Diceros bicornis minor: one gene and its partners. The protein of the gene in region 2 purifies or fractionates together with the protein of the main gene of each other region. This does not show direct contact. Links are inferred from orthologs where the notes say so. Each region holds a gene or a part of one and is shown on either strand. Other genes may lie near its edges.

Region 1 (7,862 bases), on a different chromosome or scaffold from region 2:
ACATCATATTGGGGCCCATGAGGCTGATATGTTTTATCATGAGTGATATTAACTTTGATCACTTGGTGAGGGTAGTGTCTGCTGGGTTTCTCCACTGTAAAGTTTTTATTTTTTCCCTTTGTAATGAAAGAATATTTGGGGGAGCCACCTGTTTTGTTCAGTCAAGTATATGGAGGTTTAATTTACATACAATAAAATTTACCTTTTTTTTTTCTTGTGAGGAAGATCAGCCCTGAGCTAACATCTGCCAATCCTCCTCTCTCTTTTTTTTTTTTGAGGAAGACTGGCCGTGGGCTAACATCCATGCCCACCTTCCTCCACTTTGTATGGGACACCGCCACAGCATGGCTTGACAAGCGGTGCGTCGGTGCGCGCCCAGGATCCGAACCGGCAAACCCCCGGCCGCCGCAGCGGAGCACGCACACTTAACTGCTTATGCCACTGGGCCGGCCCCTAAAATTTACCCTTTATGGCATATGCTTCTATGAATTTTGGCAAATGAATACAGTCATGGAACTGCCACTACAATCAAAACATAGAACAGCTCCCTCACCCCGCAGAGTTCTCACCTTCCCTTTGTAGTCAGCCTCTTCCCCGACTTCCAGGTGGTGGAAAGTACTGCTCTGTTTTCTCTCCCTCCGTCTCTGTGGTTTTGCTTTTCCCAGAATGTCAAATCAATGAAATCGTCCAGTACGTAGCCTTTTGAATCTGGCTTCTTTTGCTTCTTTAGCATAATGCACTGAAGATTCATTCGTGTTGTTGTGCGTATCAGTAGTTCTTTCCTTCTTAACACTCAGCGGTATTCCAAGTCATGACGTAGGCCCTTTGTTTCTATATTCACTGTATGTGAAGGACATTTGAGTTACATTTTGTTTATGGCGATTATGAATAAAGCTGCTATAAAAATCCATATACATGCTTTTGTGTGAACATAAGTTTTCAGGTCTCTTGAATAAGTAGCTAAGAGTGGGCTTTCTGGGTTGTATGATAAATCTATGCTTAACTTTTTTTGGCCATCAGCAGACAATTGTGTCATAAGACTTTCTATCTTAAAAAAAAAAAAAAAAAACTGGGGCCAGCCTGGTGGCGTAGTGGTTAAATTCATGCACTCCACTTCAGTGGCCTGGGGTTCGTAGGTTCAGATCTCGGGCGCGGACCTAACCACCACTCATCAAGCCATGCTGTGGCATGTCCCACATACACAACAGAGGAAGATGGGCACACATGTTAGCTCAGGGCCAATCTTCCTCACCAAAAAAAAAATTCCTTCCTTTACTCCACTTCCTTATCCTGCCGTTAACACCTCTCACTGCTCTACCCACCCCACCCCCGTTTTTTTTTGTGAGAAAGATTAGCCATGAGCTAACATCCGTGCCCATCTTCCTCTACCTTATGGGATGCTGCCACAGCATGGCTTGACAAGCAGCGCATTGGTCTGCGCCTGGGATCCAAACCTGTGAACCCCCTGCCGCTGAAGCAGAGCACTCGAACTTAACCTCTATGCTACTAGGCCAGCCCTCTCTGCTCCCTCTGTAGCAAAACTTCTCTAAAGACTTTTCCTGATCTGAAGTGTCCACTGCCTCTCCCCTTGTCTTGTCAGGTCACCTCTGGTTGCCAGACCTCAGTTCTTACCTTTGTGCATTTCTCAGCAGCATTGCACACATTGAATATGGCCTCTTTGCTGAAGCACTTTCCTTCTTGGCTTCCTGGACACCTGACTCTCCTGGTTTTCCTTTACATTCGCAATTACTCCTACTCAGCGTCCTTTGCTGGCTCTTCCTGTTTTATCTGAACTTTAAATGATGAAGGGCCTTGGGACTCAGTCCTCAGACTTCTTCCCTTCTCCGTCTTCTCTCATCTCCTAGATGAGTTCATTCAGTCGCATGAAGTACCATCTCTACTCCAGTGACTCCCAAATTAGGTTTCCAGCCCCAACTCTTCCGTGATTGGCATATATTCCAACTTTCCACTCCACAGCGCCACTTGAGTGTCAAAAAGACATCTCTGAGATGTCCAAACCCAGAACTCCTCCTTAATAATCCCACTCTTCCCTACGTCCTCATTCCCTAAATCAGTGGCACCATCATTCACCTAGCTGCTCAGTCTACAAATCTAGGAGTGGGGTTTATTATCATTATTATTATTATTAAGGAAAGATTAGCTTCATTTAAAATTTTTTTCTTTAAACATGTTATTTTGAAATAATTTCAGACACAGAAACGTTGCAAAAATACTACAGAGTTCCCATATATCCTTCACCCAGCTTCTGCCAATGTCCACTTCTTATATAACCATAGTACAATTACATGTCAGGAAATTAACACTGGTATAATGCTATTAACCAATAATACTTCAGACCTCATTTGAATTTCACCAGTTTTCCACTAATGTTCTTTTTCTTGTTCAGAATCGAATCTAGGATCCCACCTTGCTTTTAGTTGTCTCCTTCATTTCCGCTAGGAGTTATTTTTAACTTCTCCCTTTCCCATACACTCTAGTTCCACTCCTATAGCAACTGAATAAGTGAGCTCTGCCTTCACGATATATCCTGAATCCCACCACTCCTTTCCATTCCACTGCTACCATCTGGGTGCAGGCCACCATCTCTTCCCTGGAAATTGTAGCCTCCTCACCATCTCCCTGTTTTTTTGTGTGTGTGTGTGTGAGGAAGATTAGCCCTGAGTTAACATCTGTTGCCAATCCTCCTCCTCTTGCTGAGGAAGATTAGCCCTGGGCTAACATCCATGCCCATCTTCCTCTATATTACGTGGGACGCCTGCCACAGCATGGCTTGAGTAAACGCTGCTTAGGTCTGCGCCCAGGATTCGAACCTGCGAACCCCCGGGCCACAGAAGCAGAGCGCATGAACTTAACCACTATGCCACTGGGTGGCCCCTCACCATCTCCCTGTTTCCCCTTCAATCCCTTCCCTGAACTTTTTCTGTCCACAGCCATTGAAGGGACCTTTTAAAAATGTAAATCAGGTTATGTCCGTCTCCTGATCAAAACCCTTTAGTTACTTCCTATTTCATTTCAAATAACACCTGCCCTCTCCACGTAATACTTGATTCAGGCAAGGATCAGCAATGGCTGCTACAATCATGAGGTGAGAGATGGTTGGGGAACAGAATATTTGCATGGTGGCAAAGTCTAACTGCTCAGATTACCAAGGGGAACATGTACCTTTACAAAAAGAGATCTGGCAGTTAGCTCCTTGACCAGGCGACCAAACTCGGCATCATAATGGTGGGACCATCTGACATTACGCACCTCCAGATGTAATGCAATACGATGTCTGCAGTATTACCAGGGAAATGTTCTTGCCAAAAATGCTTAACTTCAGTGGATTCAAACCTTCAGACTCAACTTCCATTTTACAGGGAAAACAAGGGTAGTGCAACAAAGTAACCACCAGGAGGAAACCATCAGACAAACTCAGAATGTGGGACATTCTACTGGAAACGGGGTTGAACTCTGGGAAAAATCAACAACACAACGGGAAAAAAAAAGTGTGTGGGTGTGTGCATATGTGTGTCTACTCTATATTAAAAGAGACTAAAGAGACATGACAAGTAACGGCAATGGGTGAAATTTGATTGGCTCCTGGTTCAGATTAAAACAAAATATTCTTGGTCAGTTGGGAAAACCTGAATAGAGGCTAAACTTTCTTAGAGATGAAAATAATTTTGTGGTTATGTAGCAGAATGTCCTTATTCTTAGGAGATACATGCTGAAGCATTTAGAGGTGAAATGCTGCAATTTACTTTCCAATGGTAGACCAAAAAAAAACACATTACGAAGGCAGGTTTAGTTTTGTTTATTTTCTTTAAATTTTTTATTTTGAAATAAATTTAGAATTACAAAAAACCTCCAAAAATGGAGCAGAGAGTTCCCACATGCATACACAAATAAAGCAAATGTCAAAATATTTTTGAAAATGTCCTTTTATATGTTTCTTGAAACACGAAATTAGTCATTTACATTTTGTAATAATTTCTGTAATTATTATTAAACAGGCAATTGAACCTATCCAAAAAACTTAAAATACAATACTTAACTCCTGATGGGTCTACAGGGCCCTAAATAGCATGGCTGCTGACTCTAATCTCAGGGCAAATGACATGAGGTTCCTGCCATCCGTCCTAAACCAGGCCCTTTACACTTGCTGTTAACCCTGCCCAGATCTCCCTTCCATCTGGCCTTTGTGCAAATGTCACCTCTTCAGAAGTACCTTCCATCTTCGCCCTTTTTAAATTACCCCGCTCTCACTGCCCACCCTCTTACTCCGCCCTATTTTTCTTTATTGCGCAGACCACTATCCGAAATTATATTTATCTTTTTAAATGACTTTATTGTCTCCCTCAGTACAATGCAAGCTCCAAGAAGAAAAAGACTTTGCTTTAGTCACGTGCTATGTCCCCAGAGACCAAACAGCGCGCTTGCTTAATAGTTGTCGATTTAATAGGTTAGACATCAACTCGGCCACACTATTCACGTAGGGACTCTTTGCCAGGTGGCGGAAGGGTCTATTACGGTATAGACGAAACACGCATGCGCGCAAGATCCGGGAAGTGTGTTAAGGGGAGGGGCGGAGCATCGAGAAGAGTCTCGCGGACACCGGCGGTTGGAGCCGCGAGCGCGAGGTCGAAGGGGAAGGCTTGGTGAGAAGCGCGCGTGCGCACTGCGGCCTCCAGCCTGCCGCGGCAAAGGAGTTTAAGGTGCACGAAGGCGGGGTGGTGACCTCGCGCGTGCGCAGTGCCCGCGGCGGCGCCAGGTCCGTGTGTGTGGGCTGGTCTCGACTCGCGCGGCGCGTGCGCAGTGCGGCCGGCGGAGGGATTTGAGACCGGTTCCACCCCTTGCCCCTGTCGCGAGCCGAGGCCGCGCGGGCTCGTGAGCAGCGGCCTGGTTCGCGCGCTCAGTGGGTGACGGAGGCGGAGGGACGTGGACCCCGCCGGAGTAGAAGACAGAGTAGGAGTTCGTGCTGCTGAGGGGCCGCCGCAGCCGCTGCGAGCCCCCGGACCGTCGCCAGGCCGAGGAGGGCGCCGCGCGGCGGGTGAGTGTGACTGGCCTTACCGGGTGCGGGGCCACTACCCACAAGCCCCTGCGGTGGGCCCCAGTCCCTTCCCCGCGGCCGGGTCCCCGTCCCGCGCCACCGCCAGAGCACCTTTCTGCATCCCTTACCCACAGTCCCCTGGGCACTCAGGCCCTCTTGCCATGGCTCCCCCGCGGTCCCTTACCCACAGGCCCTTGCGGTGTGTTGCCTTTTTTTTCCTTCTCTTTCGCGGCATCCTGGACCCTTACCCATAATTCCTTTCGTCTCTGGGGTCCTAGATGTATTAGCCACAAGCCGTTACTTGAGAGGTTTGCTGCTTAGGACCCTGTCTTTTTGATTGGAGGCTTCCTGTGCCCCCTGCCTCATAACCTGTTCTCCAAGGTATGGGACCCCCAGCCGCCACTGCTGTGGATCTCCCTCGTCAGGATCCTTGATTCCCCCACAAACCCCCAGGGAACCTCTCGGCCTCACAGTTCCTTGCTTGGGACTCAGACTTTGCTCAGAAACCCTTTTTCCGTCCTTGTTTGCCTTACCGGCCTTGCCCTGCCCTCACGCAGCCTTCCCGAAGAACTTGCTTTCTCCTTCGGGTTTACTCCTTGGCCCTGTGACATAGGGTCACTCTGAGCCCTGGCTGAGATCCTGCCCCATTTCCCTCTTTTTCGGGGAGTCAAGGGATTGTAGGGGCTGCCTCTCCACCCGCCCACCCCCACACAAGGCTGTCTTGCTTTGGCCCTCAGACTTGGCAAGATGACCCAGTTCCTGCCGCCCAACCTCCTGGCCCTCTTTGCCCCCCGTGACCCCATCCCGTACCTGCCGCCGCTGGAGAAACTGCCACATGAAAAACACCACAATCAACCTTACTGTGGCATCGCGCCTTACATCCGGGAGTTTGAGGTGAGTTTGCTGAGCAGACTTGGGGTGGTTTGGGTTTTAGGGGCCAGGGGCCTGGATTTGGAGTCCAGTCTCTGGCTGTGTTCCAGCTGTGTGGTTTAGGCAGGTGACTTGCTCTTCGTGATCTTCAGTTTTCCTCTCTTAAATGGGGTTGATAGTACATCCCTTGTAGGGTTTTTGTGAAAATTCAGTGACTAGCAGTGGGGGATTCGGGCTCTGAAGGCAGGTAGTCTTTGGCACACGCCATTTATCAGCTGTGTGACCTTGGGCAAGTGGTGTATACTCTTGTGCATCAATTTCTTCATCTTGGGCCGGCCCCGTGGCTTAGCGGTTAAGTGCGCGCGCTCCGCTACTTGCGGCCCGGGTTCGGAACCCCGGGCGCTCACCGAGGCACCGCTTCTCCGGCCATGCTGAGGCCGCTTCCCACATACAGCAACCAGAAGGACGTGCAACTATGACGTACAACTATCTACTGGGGCTTTGGCGGGGGGCGGGGGAGGACTGGCAATAGATGTTAGCTCAGAGCTGGTCTTTCTCAGCAAAAAGAGGAGGATTAGCACAGATGTTAGCTCAGGGCTGATCTTCCTCACAAAAAAAAAAATTTCTTCATCTTTAGTGAGGGGATAATAGAATTTTCTTCATAACATTGATGGGGAATTAACTGCAAAATTTATGTTATGGGGCCTGGCACCAAACAGTCAGCAAATGTCAACGTGTGTTAGTGTATTTATCATCTTTGTGGCGTTCGTAAAGGGTTAGCACGGTGCGATGGGGTGCTTAAGACCATGGGCTTGAGAACTTGAGCTCTGCACCTGCAGGGTAAACACGAACACATGACTTAGGTTCCTGGGCCTCAGTTTTCTCATTAGTAAAATTGGGATAACAACATCCGTCTCTTAAGGTGCATCAGAGCGCACCTGAGAAATGCTGGCATGCAGCCAGCAGAGGAAAGTTCTGGCATCGAGTGGGAAAGGGCGGCTGGAGGCGGAGGAAGTGGCAGAGCAGAAGTTAGTAGCAAGATAACAGAAGGTTGGCTCTTTAGTGGGATTTGCCGCCCTCAGTGAGCTGGTACTGGGGAAATGTCACTAGCCAGTTAAACTAATTTAGTGGCTGCAGGTCAGTGGCACTCTTTGATGACCCAGGTCATGTGCCATTTACTCCTTAATGAGTGGTTGGTGAGACCCTCAGGAAATCCCCGGGGCCGGCCCGGTGCCTTAGTGGTTGAGTGCGCGCGCTCCGCTACTGGCGGCCTGAGTTCGGATCCCGGGCGCGCACCGACGCACCGCTTCTCCGGCCATGCTGAGGCCACGTCCCACATACAGCAACTAGAAGGATCTGCAGCTATGACATACAACTATCTACTGGGGCTTTGGGGGGAAAAAAAAAAGGAGGAGGATTGGCAATAGATGTTAGCTCAGGGCTGATCTTCCTGACAAAAATTAAAAAAAAAAAGAAGTGTCCGCCCCTCAGAGAGCGTTCAGTTGTTTGCTTCTGGGCACCGCACCGTCAGCTCCTTTTGCTTCAGGCCTGGTCCCGATTCCTCTCTGTGATAAAGAGAGATCCATTGCAGATTGTGCTTTCGATAAACACAAAAGAATTATTTTCTTTTTTCTAGTGTTTTTAAAGAAAGATTGTAAAATAAAAGATTGAGTTTTTATTATTAAATTCAGTGGGCATAAAGCTACCCCGTCAGATTGTTGTAGAAGTTTCTGAATACTTACGATTTCTTTACTTTTCGTGTCACGGACCGTTACCAGTTTGCAGATGGCATTGGTGCAAGGACCGCACTTTGATCTGCACCACTCCCCTGCCTCCACTGGCCTGGGAGCTGTCCCTGTTTGTTTACTTGTGTGTAGGGGGGGTGTGTGTGTGGCTGAATTGCTTATTACTTCCCAGATGGGTGTCCCTGGCCGTTTCC
Region 2 (7,430 bases):
CATCCCGCTTCATCTCTCTGGGTCTCAGTTATTTCAACTTTACTATAAAGTATTATAAAGTTCTAAAAATACCATTTCGCTCCACTGTAGGTGTGGAGATTCATGAAATAACGAGAGTGAACATTTTAAAAAAACATCCAAGATGCTTTGGGAATGCTTTGATCACATTGACTGCCATAGGGAGGCTGCCCCTTTGATGTTAAAACAGTTCCTGAAACCCAACACTCTAAAGCGGAACTCTTTTGTCCCCCGCTTCCTGAATCAGCCTTCTAATTCTGCCTTCTTCCCAGACTACACACTCTAGTAGCATCCAGTCTGTCACCTCTTCCAGTTGTTCCTTTCCTTCAGATGTTTCTCAGACACATCCATCCTCCTCTGGACCCTCATCACTTCCTGCATCAGCGAAGGGTCTCTGTTCCAGAACAGGCTCTGGTAGCATTCTGAGCCTCACTTTCCAGTCTTTCTAACAGTTGCAACTTTACATTTGCTTGTGAGATTTGTGATTTGTAGAACTACCAATCTCAAATCACAGACTTCCCTGTGCAAGAAACATAATTTTCTTTTTTTCCTATAAGGAGTTCATTTCTGTTCAACTCTGTTTTCCATCTAAGTGTTGTAGAAACAATCTCAGATAGTTCAGGGTTCTTCCTCAGATAGTTCAGGGTTCTTCCTACCCTTGATTTTCAGCTTGTACACACTTTTTGGAAAATTAATTAGGGCCAAGGTTGTGGGGGTGGGAATTCATTGAATCCTCAGTGTCAGTTGTTTGAGCTATATCGTCCTGCCTGATCCTCCGTCACTTGTCCACACAGGTTGCCATTTAATCTTCCTGGGAAACAGAGCTTCTTCTGGGTTATTGGCCAATGTGTCCCCTTGCTTCCCAAGCAGCAGCAGCCTTGGCGGGGGGGAGAAGGGCATAGAGTTCCTTTCTTGGGGACCCACCAACAGCTATCCCCTATGTCTCCTTTCCCAGCCTAGGGAATCTTTATCTCTTCTAGGGGGAGACTGGGAGAAATCTGAGATTGAGGTTTTTTTTTGTGTGTGTGTGAGGAAGATCAGCCCTGAGCTAACATCCATGCTAATCCTCCTCTTTTTGCTGAGGAAGACTGGCTGTGAGCTAACATCTATTGCCAATCCTCCTCCTTTTTTTTTTCCCCAAAGCCCCAGTAGATAGTTGTATGTCATAGTTGCACATCCTTCTAGTTGCTGTATGTGGGACGCGGCCTCAGCATCGGGTGCGTGCCTGGGATCCGAACCCGGTGCCGCCAGTAGCAGAGCGCGCGCACTTAACCACTAAGCCGCGGGGCTGGCCCTGGCTTGAGATTGAGTTCTTACCTGTTTAATATTTACTCCAAAATCAGTCGCCCTGAATCCTTTCTATTCCATGAGGGGCTGGCTTTGAAACTCAGAAGGCTTGAAAGGACTCCCTTTTTCCTCCATTCTTCTGTCACAGCCATAAGCTCCCCAGTATAGGGACTCCTCTGGTTTTGCTCACAGTGGAATCCCCAATGCCTAGTACAGTGCCTTACTGGCACACAATGGGCACTCAATAAATATTTGTCCAATAAATGAACCACTGCATCTCTCTCCTTCCAGTCTGTCCTCCAACCCATCCAGTGAGTGTCTTCCAGAGGAATCTTCTGGATGTGTGGTTATCTCTCCATAGCTCAACTGCTCTTCTGCTGCCAGCCCAATCAAGTCTAACCACCTCTGCTTCAAGGCTCCACGTAAATGGATCCATTTTATTTCCTACCATGTCCAAGTACGGAAGACGCCTGGCCTGTCAGGCAGCCTGTCATCCAACCAACAATAGTTATGAAGTTCCTGCTATGTGTCAGGCACCATGTTAGACTCTCAGAAACAACAGTGGCTAGAACAACTATGGTTCTGCCATCATGGAGTTTACAGTTGAATGGAGAACCCAGACATCGAACAGATACTTGTAAATAATTAAATGATTCTAGTTATCCAGAGTGGCCCAGAGGAGAATTACAGCGTGCTGTGGGGACCAAACTTCAGTCAGGGGTCAAGAAAAACGCGCCAGAGGAAGTGCCATTTAAGGCGAGACTGGTGTTTACATTGGAGGGGATGGGAGGGGAGGAGAAGAAAAGAGGGAGTTGGGGAAAGTGTTCCAGACAAAAATACTGGAACCAGCCAGAGTGGGTAAGTTTGAGGACTTAAAAGGCCAGTATGGCAGGAGAGAAGTTGAGGTGAGACTGTGAGGGTCAGAATGGGCCAGATGGTGCAGGACGTGGGGGTGAGTTTCCTCTGCCAGAACCACTCTCCCTCATTCAGGTCTCAGCAAAAGTGTCACCTCCTCGGAGATGCCCTCCCTGAATATCCTGCCTAAAATAGTCCATCCCTCTGATCCATCCTATCCACCTTACTCTGATTTGTTTTATTCTTAGCACTTACTCTCTGGAATTTTCTTCTTATGTGCTGATTGTCTATGCTGCCCCACCCCCCAAACCCAATGTAAGCACCAAGAGAGCAGAAACCTTGTCTTTCTTGTTCATCATTTGTATCTCCAGTTATCAGAACACGGCCTGGCACCTAGGAGGCACCCAACCAGTATTTGCTGAATGAATGAAAAGCCTGGGGAGTATCGGGAATAGAGTTTTCATTGAAAGTAGATCACTGGCTCTTCTGAGGAAAGTGGATTAGAAGGGGGCCAGGCTGGGATCAAGAAGACCAATTAGGATGCTATTTTATTGGTGCAGGGGAGAGATGATAGTAGTTTGGACAATCTTGCTTGGCTTTAGGGATAATGATAACAAACATGAATATTTATATTGTACTTACTATGTGTCAGGCTTAGTTCAAAGCATTTTTTTAAACATTAACTCCTCACAACAACCCTGTGAGTTAATTCAACCCTTGTTATCACTCCCTCCATTTTACAGATGAGGAAATTAAGGCAGAGAAGTTCACACAGCTTACTAGCTGAGTGGAGCTGGGGTTAGAACACAATCCGACTTTAGAGTCCACGCCTTTGGCCACTATGCTGTCTGCCTTTCATACCTGCAACTTTTCTTCTTCTCTCCAAGCTTTTGCTTATGCTGTACCTGCTCTTGAGCTGCCCTCTAGTCTCCTTCTCTTCTATCTGAATATTGCCCATCTGTCAAAGTCCAGCTCGTTCACACCTCTCCAGTGAAGAAGACTTCACTGACCACACCTGTCTCTCCTGCTGCTTTGTCTGGATCCCACACCACATGTTCTGTACATGATTCCTGAAAGTATCTTATCTTTGTCGACGTAAATAATCCGTAATCAATCTATAAATCAAAATTGGGGTGGGTTTATTACGAGCCAACTTTTGAGGACCATAGCCTGGGACCTTCCTTCCCCAAGGAAGGAGGGGCACCAGAGAAGTGGGGTGTACAGAGCAGTTATATACTGTCAAAGAGCACATATCACATATGATTGCAATGTCCCTTTTACAATAGCCACAAGATCGCCGTGTCAGATTGCCCTGCCAGAATAGCTATTGATGGACACAGAGCGTGGCAGGTCTGCTGTCTCGATGGGCGTGGCTGGATGCAGGTCTGTTCTCAAGTTGGGTGGTCACAGGATGAGTGCAGCAATCAAATCCTAGCCTAAGGAGAAATGCTTATCCTTAAGGAAATGCCAATGTGGGGGACGTTGCATCCTTATCTTAAGGACATTTACTCTTCTCTTTGGGACATGGTAAAGCAGATACACAATGCATGTTTAATGGTGACAGGCCCTTTTGGGAAAACAAACTCAGGCCTAATTAGTTTTACACCAAATGGCTTCCTCATATGCTCCAATATATCCTATTGCTTGCCATTTATTTATCACTTATAGATATCCACAAAGAATCCCACACGATCTGAGCTGGAAAGGACCTAGAAGCCATGTAGGAAAGGGGCAGAGAAGCTGATGACTTGCCCAAGATCACAGAGCAAATTGGTAGTAAACGCAGGACCAGAACAGTTTCTTGACCCGTGTTAGTTTCTCTACCTGTCTGCATCTGTACTTTCTTCACCGTGTCACCCAGCAGTGTCCCTGGGTAGTCCGAGAAACACCTGTCTCAGAATCACATGGGGCATGCACTGAAAATGCAGACTTTCCAAGGCAGGCCCAGGAATACGCATTTTAACAAGTTCGTTAGTAAATTCTCACGCACACCAAAGACTGCAAGACTCCGTACGATCCCATGGCCCGGCAGAGGGCCAGTCTCAGAAAAGCGTTGCTGCATTGCTTTGGCTTTAAATTCCAACTGCATCATGGGAAATGTAGTTTCGGCTCGCCTCTCCCCTCGCCGCGGGACCGCTTTACGGAAGGAGCCGAGTCAGTCCGGAAATAGACGAGTGCTCCCTGGCGGGCCCTTTCCTGCACGGTTGCATTCTGGGAAAGGGCAGTTTCCGTTAGGTGCTGGAGGCTGAGGCGCGCGACCGGCCGCAGTCCCACGTGAAGCGCGACGCGAGCATCGCTCGGCGGGTCGCTCCCCGCTCGCCGCGGAGCGTTCCGGAAGCCGCCGGGAACCGGAAGTGGCCCGCGGCGGCTCAGAAGCTAATCCCGGAGCTCGGTGCGAGGCGCCTCGGAGCGCGGCGACGGCGCCATGTCCCTGATCTGCTCGAGTGAGTATCGGCGGCGGCCGATCGCGGGTCGCAGGAGGCCGGAGAGCCGAGCGGGAGGATCTGGGGTCGGGGCGGAGGTGAAAGCAGGGCTCCCGGGAGGCCGGGCGGCGGCCTGTCAGCACGGGGGTCCTTCTCCTCCCCCTCAGCTGGGGGTGCGTTTGCGCAGCGCTTCACAGTTTACGTAACGCCTCAAGTTTATGGTCGCAGGCATCCCTGGGGCCAGCCACCTCGTTTACGTAGTGGGGACTGGGGCCTGGACGGGGGGAGCTGGTGCAGGAATCGGGGAACCCGAAGGCTGGTGCAGGAGCCGCCTCAGATTGGCTTTGTGACCTGGCTTAAGCCTCTGGGCCTCAGTTACCCCATTTGCAAAATGAGGGCTTTGCACTGGATGTTGTCTGAGGTCCCGCCCTGGAGTCAGAGCTTCTGCAGATTGCCAAGGTCACGCAGTGAGATGGAGGCAGTGACAGGGCTGGAAGCCAGGTCTCCGGCTCCCAACCTCATCTTGCACGACTAATAAAAACAGCGTGCATTTATGAAGCCTTTATTGGTTTACAACGCACTTCCAAGTCGGTGATCTCATTTTATCCTCCCAAGAATTCTCCAAAGCAGGAATAAAGGTCCCGGCCGGGTTTACAGATGAGGGTGTAAGGCTCCAGGAGAGTGTGGCTTATCTAAAGCTGCACAGCTAGTAATTGGCAGAGCTGGGTGATGGAGCTGGGTTCTCTGACCCTGAATCCGTGCTTTTTTCATGCCTTGTACTGTCTTTCCTTTTGGTATTTTATTGTGGCATAGAGATGTTTTCCGTTATTGTTTCATCCCGTGACTGGTCTCTCATCCTTTTCTCTATTTGCGTCCTAATTGTCAAGCCCTTGACTCTTCTCAGAACCTCTCCATAAATCAAAAAAAAGGGAGGGAATAAGGAAGGAAGGAAAATGATGTCTAGAAAGAGGAACCTTCACATTGAAAAAATTACAGGTTGCACAGTATTGTCCCATTCATTGTTTCTTTTGTATCTTGAAGAACCTCTCTTCTGTGTTCCCCACCACCATCCTTCCTCTCATTCGCTCATGTTAGATGTTAACCCAGTGCCTGCTGGGCATCTGCATTGTCCTGGAAGTCAGAGACCAGCTGTAATCCCTATGCTCAGGGGTGCACAGTCTACTGAGGCAGGCGTGTAAATGATACCTCTGTTGGGGGTTGTGGTGAGGATGAATTAAATCTCTGGAAAGTGTTTCCAATCGTGCTTGGTACCTAGTAAACACCATGTAAATGTTTTTTATTCTTATAGCACTTGTCATATTGCTTTGTAATTTCTTTGTCTAATAATCCATCTAGGCTCTAGACTGAGATTTGAGTGGCTTCATGTGTATCTCCATGTCCTGGAGTATAAGGAGTGACTAAGCATCTTTGTTCAAAAACAAGATGGGCAGGGTTATTGACTGCTCTTTAGGTGTCTCGTACGTAGTTGTTGTGCAATAATTACTTGTTGACTATCTGAGTGTCAGGAGACTGATGGAGAAGCCAGTTATGTAGCTGGAAAGCATTCTGGAGACAGGACAAAACTGGCTTGGTGTCATGTCTTGATTCCTGTGAGTTGAGTGTGGGGATGCATGGTCTTGTGGGGGCCAGTAGTGAGTGAGGCATCTCTTTGGCCCAAGGTCCCTTTCACCACCCCTGCTCACTGCCTGCCTTTTCTCTGCAGTCTCCAATGAAGTGCCAGAGCACCCGTGCGTGTCCCCTGTCTCTCACCATGTCTACGAGCGGCGGCTCATTGAGAAGTATATTGCAGAGAATGGCACAGACCCCATCAACAACCAGCCTCTGTCCGAGGAGCAGCTCATCGACATCAAAGGTGCCCAGTGGCTGGCCTCAGTCCAGGGCCATCTTAGCTCAGAGCCTGAGAGGGTGGGAGGTGGTACCAGTGCACTGGAGGAGGAGATGGTTGTGTGTTAATGCAGGCTAAAGAGAAAAGAGTGGTGGAGAGGAAGAGTCCCCGGGTTATGGATCTTCATACCTGCTTTCCCTCTCTTGGCAGTTGCTCACCCCATCCGGCCCAAACCTCCCTCAGCTACCAGCATCCCAGCCATTCTGAAAGCCTTGCAGGATGAGTGGGTGAGTCCCTGGATGAGAATTGATGTCTTCCCTACTCGAAGAGAATGGATCACTGGACTAGAACTAGGGGGTGGGAGGGATGGAGCATTAGTTTCTTTTTTGAGGGGTAGGATGATAGCAGAGGAGGAGCCCGGTTGTTGAAATCACACAGATCTGGGTTTCACGCATAGCTCCATTGCTCCCTTACCGTGTGACCTTGGTCATGTGCCTCATATCCCAGTCTTGATTTTCCTGACTGTGTGACATGGATTAGTGCCCACCTCTTAGGGTGTTGGGAGAATCAGAATAAGATTAGAGTATAAACTTTGTGACGTCAGGGACTTGTTTTATTCATCAATATGTCCTCAGCACGAGAGCAGCGCCTGGTACATAGTAGGTGCTCTAAAATATGAATAAATGAATGCATACATCTTGAGGGACTGTCTGGGACAGTGCCTGACACAATGAGGACATTCAATAAATAGCAGCAGAGGCATTATTATTCCCTTTTGGTGAGGTGACAGCATGCCATCTGAGGTTTGCTGGTAAATTAAAGACGAGGGGGATGGAAAAGAGTTGGCTCCCACTCCTGTCTGTGTGCCTGGTGTTTGGCGTGAGCTAGGAGCTCGGGAGTGGCTGCCAGCACTGGCATTCAGGGTCACTCAGATGCTGCCTGCATCACTGATACTGGTCTAGGCTGTGGCATAGGAGGCAGTGTCCTCTTATCAAGGGCAG
Region 3 (7,657 bases), on a different chromosome or scaffold from region 2:
CCAGATCCCTACTGTGAAATGCATAGTCAGACAGGCTTGGATTGGAGTATTGCCAGTTACTAATTCTAGGACTGTGGGCAAGTAACCAAACTCTCTACATTTCAGTTTTCACAATTATATAAAAATATTAGATTAGAGAGGATCCAAGGACCTGAATTTTGGGAATGAGAGGCAGAGGGAGCAGGGAGGGACTCCTCCTGAACCCCGGGCGCATTCTTCTTCTCAGAAAAACATATCTCTCTTTCCACTGCCCACTCTGTAACTCTTCAGTGCCTAAATGGAGGAGTCAGGAGTTCTTCGGTGCTGTCATATGTTTCTAATCAGCCCACGATTGCAGTGTAGGAGCTCAATATTGGTGATAAATATACTTTATGAGTGTTTTTTTGAGGATATATTCTTAAAGGCTGTTCCAATAAATAATTTACTGGGGCAATGAAAGATGCAGGAAGTGACTCTGATTACATCTTGGAGCACCTAAAGCTTGAAGTTTAAGGAAGCTAGGCAGCCCACAGCTATTTAAAAATTTCCTGGAAGGGATAATTCTTCCACATTACATTCTTTACAAAGGTTACAGCCCAGCAGCTGATCTCTTGGGTGGTGCCCTTCTCCCATCTCCCTTGTGGATGCCACTCTGAAATCATCGTTGTCGCAGGTTTTTGGACTGCTTGGTGCATTGCACAAGCTCTTCTGAGCTTCCATTTCCTCATCTTTAAAATTGGAATAGCATATTGTCAGGATTTGTGGTAGGGCTTTGAAGATATTTGATAGTATTATGGCCAGGAGTGAATGAATCAATCAGTAGATTGATTGGCTCATTTATTAAATCACCAACTATTCGGTTAGTGCCAATTAAGGTCTAGGCACTGTGTTAGGTTCTGAGGTTATTGTGATGAACAATACAGCAATCTCTGGCCTTCTGGAGCTTAGAATACAAAGGGAAAACAGACTCCAAAAGAGTAAAAAGCAAATCAATATAGAAACACAAATCACATGTGTTCTGAAGATAATAGTCAGGAACACTGGTAGAGAATCTTGAGCAGAGGGGAGGGACTGTCTTAGATCTCACAGTCAGGGAAGGCTCCTCTGATGTGGTGACATTAAGCTGAGACCTGAAGGGTGAGTGCTCCAAGACTTCTCTCTAGGGAGGTTCCCAAGGAATTATTAATGGGCCCTCTCAACAAGATAAAGTTGAAATATCTTAATATGATATTCAAGATCCTCTATGATCAGGATTGCCAGATAAAATACAGGATGCCTAGTTAAATTTGAATTTCAGATAAACAACACAAAGTTTTTAATATGTTACTAAATATTGCATGGAGCAGATAGTAAAAAAAATTTGAAGTTTATCTGAAATTCAGATTTAACTGGGTATCTTGTATTTTTATTTGCTAAATCTGGCAACCCTATCCATGATGTTCCCTGGCCCCCCTCTCCTGCCCTACTTCCCACCATTCCCTGCACACACCTTATGCCCTGTCTATAAGAGATAGTCCAACTTCCATGTCTTTGGGCGTGTTGTTCCCTCTGCCTGGGTCACCAGACTCCCACCATGTCTTCTTGGGAAACTCTTCTCATCCCTTAAACCCTAGTCCAAATGGCACCTCCAGCACGTTATCCCCATTCCAGGGTGTCACCAAACCTGGTTCGCATAGGGTTTTGCCTTATGATTCTATGTTTTAAGGTCTGGTCTCTAAAAATACACAGAGAAGATTGAATGCCTTCAATACTCTTGAAAGGAAGGGGTATAAGGAATGACCTTGTCCCTCCTGCCTCCCCCACCCCATCATCCTCACACAACTCCTCATAGTATTAACATCAAATATTGATGGAGCACTTTTCTGTGCTGGGTACCCTGCTAAGGGCTTTGTATACAGCATCTCACGTAAACTTCCCAAAGTCTTATAAGGTAAATTCCATTGAATCTCCACTTTGCAGGCAAGGCAATCAGGCACACAGAGGTGATGTCGCTTGCCTCAGTTTCCACATCTGTAAAATGAGGATCATAACAATGTCTCCCTCATGAGGGTTTCTCTCCAACTAGAGTGTAGGTTCCAAGAGGGCAGGAACTTTCTTTTTAAATAAACCTCTGTATCCTCAGAGCCCAGGGTTGTGTCTGGCATTGAGTAGGCACTCAATAAATACTGTTGAATGCATGAATGAACCACCTTACAGATAAGGAAACTGCAGCTTAGAAAGAGAAAGTAACTTGCTCACAGGTAGATGTGGTGAGACTTTGACTAGAACCAGAATCAATGGTGTACTGGTAAACGTTTACCAACCCCGATTTGTAGCACTTGTTGATTTCCATAATGTAAATACTTCCACCATGGCCAACTTCAAGCAACCAACCTGATGTCAATCTGCTTGCAAATTTCCTGAAAATTTAACCATAGGCACTTGCAAGCTCCAGCATACCCCTTACTAGAACAAAGTTCTAAAGGGTACATGGTTCCAAAGGGTACACTCTCACCATTACTCTGTTCAGCCTCCCTGAACAGGGCACAGTCTACACTCACAGCTAAGTAGGAAGAGAAAAGACACCTGAAAAACTCAGTTCAAAGCAGATTGTGTAGGTGATCCTTAAAAAACATAAATCCAATCACTAAACGCCCCTGCTTAAAACCTTTCAATATCTTCCTGATGCTCCTACCATGAAATTTAGTCTCCTTATCATGACCCACAAGGCCCATTGTGAAACCTCCCCCTGTGCCAGGCACTGTACAAGGCTTTTGTACTGGGATATAATGATGAACGTGACCTCCACAATCCCTCCTCTCATGGAGCCTGCCTGCAGTAAATGAGGCTGTCAATAAACAAGTAATTAACCATTAAGAACAAAATGACAGATGGAGATATATGTGCAGTAAAGGAAGTGCTAGGAAAGAGAATAATGAGAAGGGGCTGCTTACCTGAACTGAGGGATAGTTGAGGAAGGCTACTCTAAGAAAGTGACATTTGAAACCCGAAGGATGAGAAAGAGTTGGATGAGGTGTGGGGCTAGTGGCCAGGCAGAAGAAGAGAGGATTTGGCACTTTGAGGAACAAAAATAATTTCTGTATATTTGGAGACTGTGGAGATGGAGAAGGTGATTATAAATACTGCTATGGTCTGAATGTTTGTGTCCCCCCAAATTCATGTGTTTAAATGAAGTGGAGCTTTTGAGAGATGATTGGGTTATAAGGGCAGAGCCCTTATGAATGGGATTAGTGCCTTTTTTTTTTTTTTTGCTGGGAAAGATTGCCCTGAGCTAACATCTGTTGTCAATCTTTCTCTTTTTTTTTTTTTTCTTTTCTTTCCTCCCCAAGGCCTCAGCACATAGTTGTATATTCTAGTTGTAAGTCCTTCTAGATCTTCCATGTGAGCTGCCACAGCATGGCCACTGACAGACGAGTGGTGAGATTCAGTGCTTGGGAACCGAACCCGGGCCACAGAAGCAGGGCGCAACAACTCTAAATGCTAGGCCATCAGGGCTGGTTGGATTAGCATCTTTTTAAAAGAGGCAGGAGAGCTCCCTCACCCCGGACACCACATGAGGACACAGTGAGAAGGTACCATCTATGAACCACAGACCAGACCCTCACCAGACAACAAATCTGCCAGCGCCTTGATTTTGGACTTCCCAGCTTCCAGAACTGTGAGAAATAAATTTCTGTTGTTTATAAGCCACCCAGTGTATGGTATTTTTGCCATAGGAGCCTGAATGGACTAAGACAAATATTATGAACGTGAAGGGCAGGAGGCTAAAGGCTCAGGCGACTAAGGAAGAGGCTTAACACCCTTTTAAGATGGAGTCTTATTTAAATCCCAGGAGTTCAGATGCACTCTGAATGATTCTCTTCCAGTGATGGGCAACTCTCTCCTACAGAAAACTTTTTTATATCACTTGGGTAGAAACAAGATCATCCAGTTCCCACCCCGCCTTGCATACATGAATAAACAGAAGCCAGAGAGGGAAATGTGATCACCAACAGTTTCTCAGACAGTAACAGTTGCACGGACTTGGACAATACACTTTCTGAGCCAGACCTGTCCAATAGAAATTTAACAGGAGCCGTGAAGACAGCCACATATGTAATTTACATTTTCTACTAACCACATTTAAGAAGTAAAAAGAAACGGGTGAAATTAATTTTATATATTTTTTGACCCAATATATCCAAAATATCATTTCAACATGTAATCATTAGAAGTTTTAGAAACCGGGTGTGTATTTTAGTTACACTTATGGCACGTTTCAAACATGACCTAGCCATCTTTCAGACCCTCAGTAGCCACATGGGTATAGCGGCTATAGTACTGGACAGTGCAGTTCTATGCCTCAGTTTCCTTATCTGTGAAACGAGGATAAAGTTGCCTAGGTCACTGGAAGGACTGTGAGGGCACACGTGAAACACCCAGCACTCCACCCCGCGCTCGCGCCAATAAAGCTTGGGTCCTTTGGGTCTTTTCTTTCACCGCACCGCCCTCCTTCAAGTCTCCGCCCCTTTCCCCGCCCCCTTCAGGCTCAGGGCGGAAGCGGTACTGTCGCAAATGCGGCGCGCTTTACGGTGGCGCTGCCTTTTACCGCAGTGTGGCCGACTCGCGCGTCGCGCGCACTTTTACCTCATTGGCTCTGCGGCTCGGCTCACGGCGCTTTACGGCAGTGTGGCTGGAGCCGCTGGTGAGGGGTCCCCTGTTTGGGCGTGAGTAGAGGGAAGCGGAGTAGCAGGTGTTGGCTAGGCCGGGAACCATGGACGTGGGTGAACTTCTGAGCTACCAGGTATGAGGGACGAGGAGGGCCAGAGGACCGTCCGCTCACCCGGGCATCTCACCTCCTCTCCCCTCCGTCCCGGGCCCTCTCTTTTCTCGTGGCACCGGGGTCCGAGCCTCTCATTTCACTTCCCTCCCTTGAGACTCGCTTGGGTCCTTTCAGTTCGTTCCTTCTCAAGGTGCGAGCCCCTTCTTTTCAGCTGCAGTGTGGGCCCCTTCTCACCCCACCCTGGGGCCTGGTTCCCTTCAGCTTTCTGAAGGCCCCAGACTATCTTCGCAACCATCCCTCTTTAGCCCTCTTACCCCTAGTCGTTGAGTTTGTGGTGGTGGTGGGAGAGCCCTGGACCCCCAGCTTCTCCCCTGACTGGCCATGTGGCTTTGGGACAAGTCATTTCACCCTCTTTGAGCCTGAGTTTCTTTATATATAAAACGGAGGCAGTAATAACTACCTAGTGGAGTTGTTTGAGGACTATATCAACTAATGGATGTGATAGCCGATTTTAAAGTGTAGAAAGCTGTACCCCTGTTAACTGCAGTTGTTGGGAGATGTTTGGAATTCTAACATGGGATAGGTCTCTAGGAATCTTTGTCCCTCTTGCTCAGGATACTTGTAGGGAAACAGTAGCCCACAGGGCAGAAAGGACTTGTCCAAAGTTACTCAACAAGTAAGAGCTGAGATTAGAGCTGAGGTCTCCTGGCTTCCAGCTCAAAGTTCCCCCACTCTTTTGACTTCCTAAGGAGGCTCCTTGTGAGAGGCAGTAGAGCTGTGTTGTCCAATATGGTACCCAGTAGCCATATATGGCTATTCAACACTTGAAATGGGACTAGTCTGAATTGAGAAGTACTCTAAATGTAGAATCACACTGGATTTTGAAGACTCAGTGTGAAAAAAGTAAAACTTTCTTGTTGGTTACATGATCATATTGATCATATCAGGTACCATGATTATTGATCATATTGATTAGATAATCTTAGTATGGGTAATGGGTTAAGTAAAATACATTTAAAATAAATTTTACCTGTTTCTGTGACTTTTTAAGCTAGCCTTTTGCTGTGGCTACTGCTGGCCTTATATTTCTGTTGGACAGCTCTGCAGTAGAGAGTAGGTAATGAAGAGCCATGAGTCTGGAGCCCCATGTTGCTCAGAATCTCTATTTTGCTGCTGACTGGCTTCTGTGACCTTGAACAAAACACTTAACCTCTCTGTGCCTTGGTTTCCTCATCTGTAAATGTGGGCAATGATGGTACCTACCACATAAGTCTGTTGTTAACAGCTGTCGTGAACTGTAAAGTGCTTAGGCCGATGCTTGTCAAAGAGTAAACGTTCAATAAATGTTGCCAGTTATATTCATGCCACTTCCTCAGCCAATATACAAAGAACTGACCTTAGAAACTCTAGACATCATGGGAATGAACTTGTAAGCAATGGGAGATATATAGCCAAGAGATGTCTCTTTTTAAGACAATAATTGAAGGTGAAAGAAGAAAATAGGGGGTTGTTGAATGAGTGGTTGTATACCTGTTTGGGAGTTGTAGAATGACTAGCACGTTGACTCGTAGAATATTAAAGCTAGAAGAGGTTCATTCATTTGCTCAACAAATATTTATTGAACACCTACTGTGCAAGGCACTGTATCTACTGAATATACAACATTGAGCAAAACAGACAGAGTTCTTGCTTTTGTGGAGCTTATAGTCTGGTGGGGAAGTTACAAGATAATAAGTCAGTAAACAAACCAGAAATTCAGATTGTGATAAGCACTTTGAAGGGTATGCAGAATATACTATGCTGTGCTGTTTGGTGTGGTAGCCACTGGGCACAGGTGACTATTGAACACCTGAAATGTGGCTAGTTCAAATTGATATCTGCTGTATGTGCAAAATACCTGCTATATGTGCAAAATACACACTGGATTTCCAAGATTTAGTATGAAAAAAATGAATGTAAAAAATATTAATAATTTTTATATTGATTCCATGCCGAAATGATAATACTAGGATATATTGGCTTAAAGTAAATAGATTATTAAAGTTAATGTCACTTTCTTAAAAACTTTTTTAATGTGGCTACTAGAAAATTTAAAGTTACATATGTGGCTCATTTGTGGCTTTCCATGTATTTTCATTGGACAGCACTGCTAAAGAAAATAACCCCTGGGAATGCGAGGCAGGACCTATTACTTTAACTAGTATGGTCTGGGAAGGACTCTGAGGAATGGACATTAAAGGATTGAAGGTTGAAAGGAGCCAGTCATGTGAAAAGGGCAGAATGATCTGGGCAGACAGAATAGCAAATACATAGGCTGTGAGGTAGAGGCTGGGGCAGCCTGTTAGAGGATCAGAAGGAGGACTGATGTAGCTGGAACATGGTGAGTGGGTGGGGGAGTGGTAGGTGATGAAGTTGGAGATGTAGGCAGATGACAGGCTATGTAGGCCTTCCTGTGGGCCATGATAAGGAGTTTGAATTTTATTTTGAGAGATGTTATAGATAAGCTCGTTTACAGATGAAAAGTGAACTCCATTCTGGGAGAGGGACTTCCCTGAGGTTGTGGGCCAAGGGAGTGGCAGAGTTGAAACCAGAATCCTGATCTTCTTATTTCTGCCCTGTTCATTTCCCACATGCACTGTTCATGCAGTTTCCTTTCTGTAAGATCCATGTCCACTCTTCCTGTTCCTAAAAGATGGTACAGTCTGGAATCTAGTCCATAATCAGTCAACTGCACCCATCCTCCTGTGGAAAGTTATGAGGATCATCTGAGTTAATGGATGCAAAAGCTCTTTGAAAACAGTAACATTTTATAGATGTGAAAGATGCATTACCTACCTGCATCATCTCTCTAAATCCTTATAACAACCCTATGAGGAAAGGTACTGTTTTTAATCTCAATTATAAACATGAGGGAAC

What was found.
Region 1: the proteins of PRPF19 (region 2) and SNRNP70 fractionate together in Homo sapiens (co-fractionation; 3 studies listed by BioGRID, with this or other methods). This does not show direct contact. The link is inferred for Diceros bicornis minor from reciprocal best matches to the Homo sapiens genes PRPF19 and SNRNP70.
Region 3: the proteins of PRPF19 (region 2) and CTNNBL1 purify together in Homo sapiens (affinity purification with mass spectrometry; 4 studies listed by BioGRID and IntAct, counting the BioPlex papers as one, with this or other methods). This does not show direct contact. The link is inferred for Diceros bicornis minor from reciprocal best matches to the Homo sapiens genes PRPF19 and CTNNBL1.

What each region holds. Positions count from the first base shown.
Region 1 is NC_080773.1:24,584,525-24,592,386, forward strand, and holds the start of SNRNP70 (U1 small nuclear ribonucleoprotein 70 kDa), read left to right. Parts: upstream 1-4,855; 5' UTR 4,856-5,053; intron 5,054-5,790; 5' UTR 5,791-5,800; coding exon 5,801-5,947; intron 5,948-7,862. UniProt on the Homo sapiens protein: Component of the spliceosomal U1 snRNP, which is essential for recognition of the pre-mRNA 5' splice-site and the subsequent assembly of the spliceosome. SNRNP70 binds to the loop I region of U1-snRNA.
Region 2 is NC_080770.1:12,513,877-12,521,306, forward strand, and holds the start of PRPF19 (pre-mRNA-processing factor 19), read left to right. Parts: upstream 1-4,412; 5' UTR 4,413-4,585; coding exon 4,586-4,604; intron 4,605-6,306; coding exon 6,307-6,456; intron 6,457-6,639; coding exon 6,640-6,716; intron 6,717-7,430. UniProt on the Homo sapiens protein: Ubiquitin-protein ligase which is a core component of several complexes mainly involved pre-mRNA splicing and DNA repair. Required for pre-mRNA splicing as component of the spliceosome.
Region 3 is NC_080758.1:22,437,105-22,444,761, reverse strand, and holds the start of CTNNBL1 (beta-catenin-like protein 1), read left to right. Parts: upstream 1-4,650; 5' UTR 4,651-4,732; coding exon 4,733-4,762; intron 4,763-7,657. UniProt on the Homo sapiens protein: Component of the PRP19-CDC5L complex that forms an integral part of the spliceosome and is required for activating pre-mRNA splicing.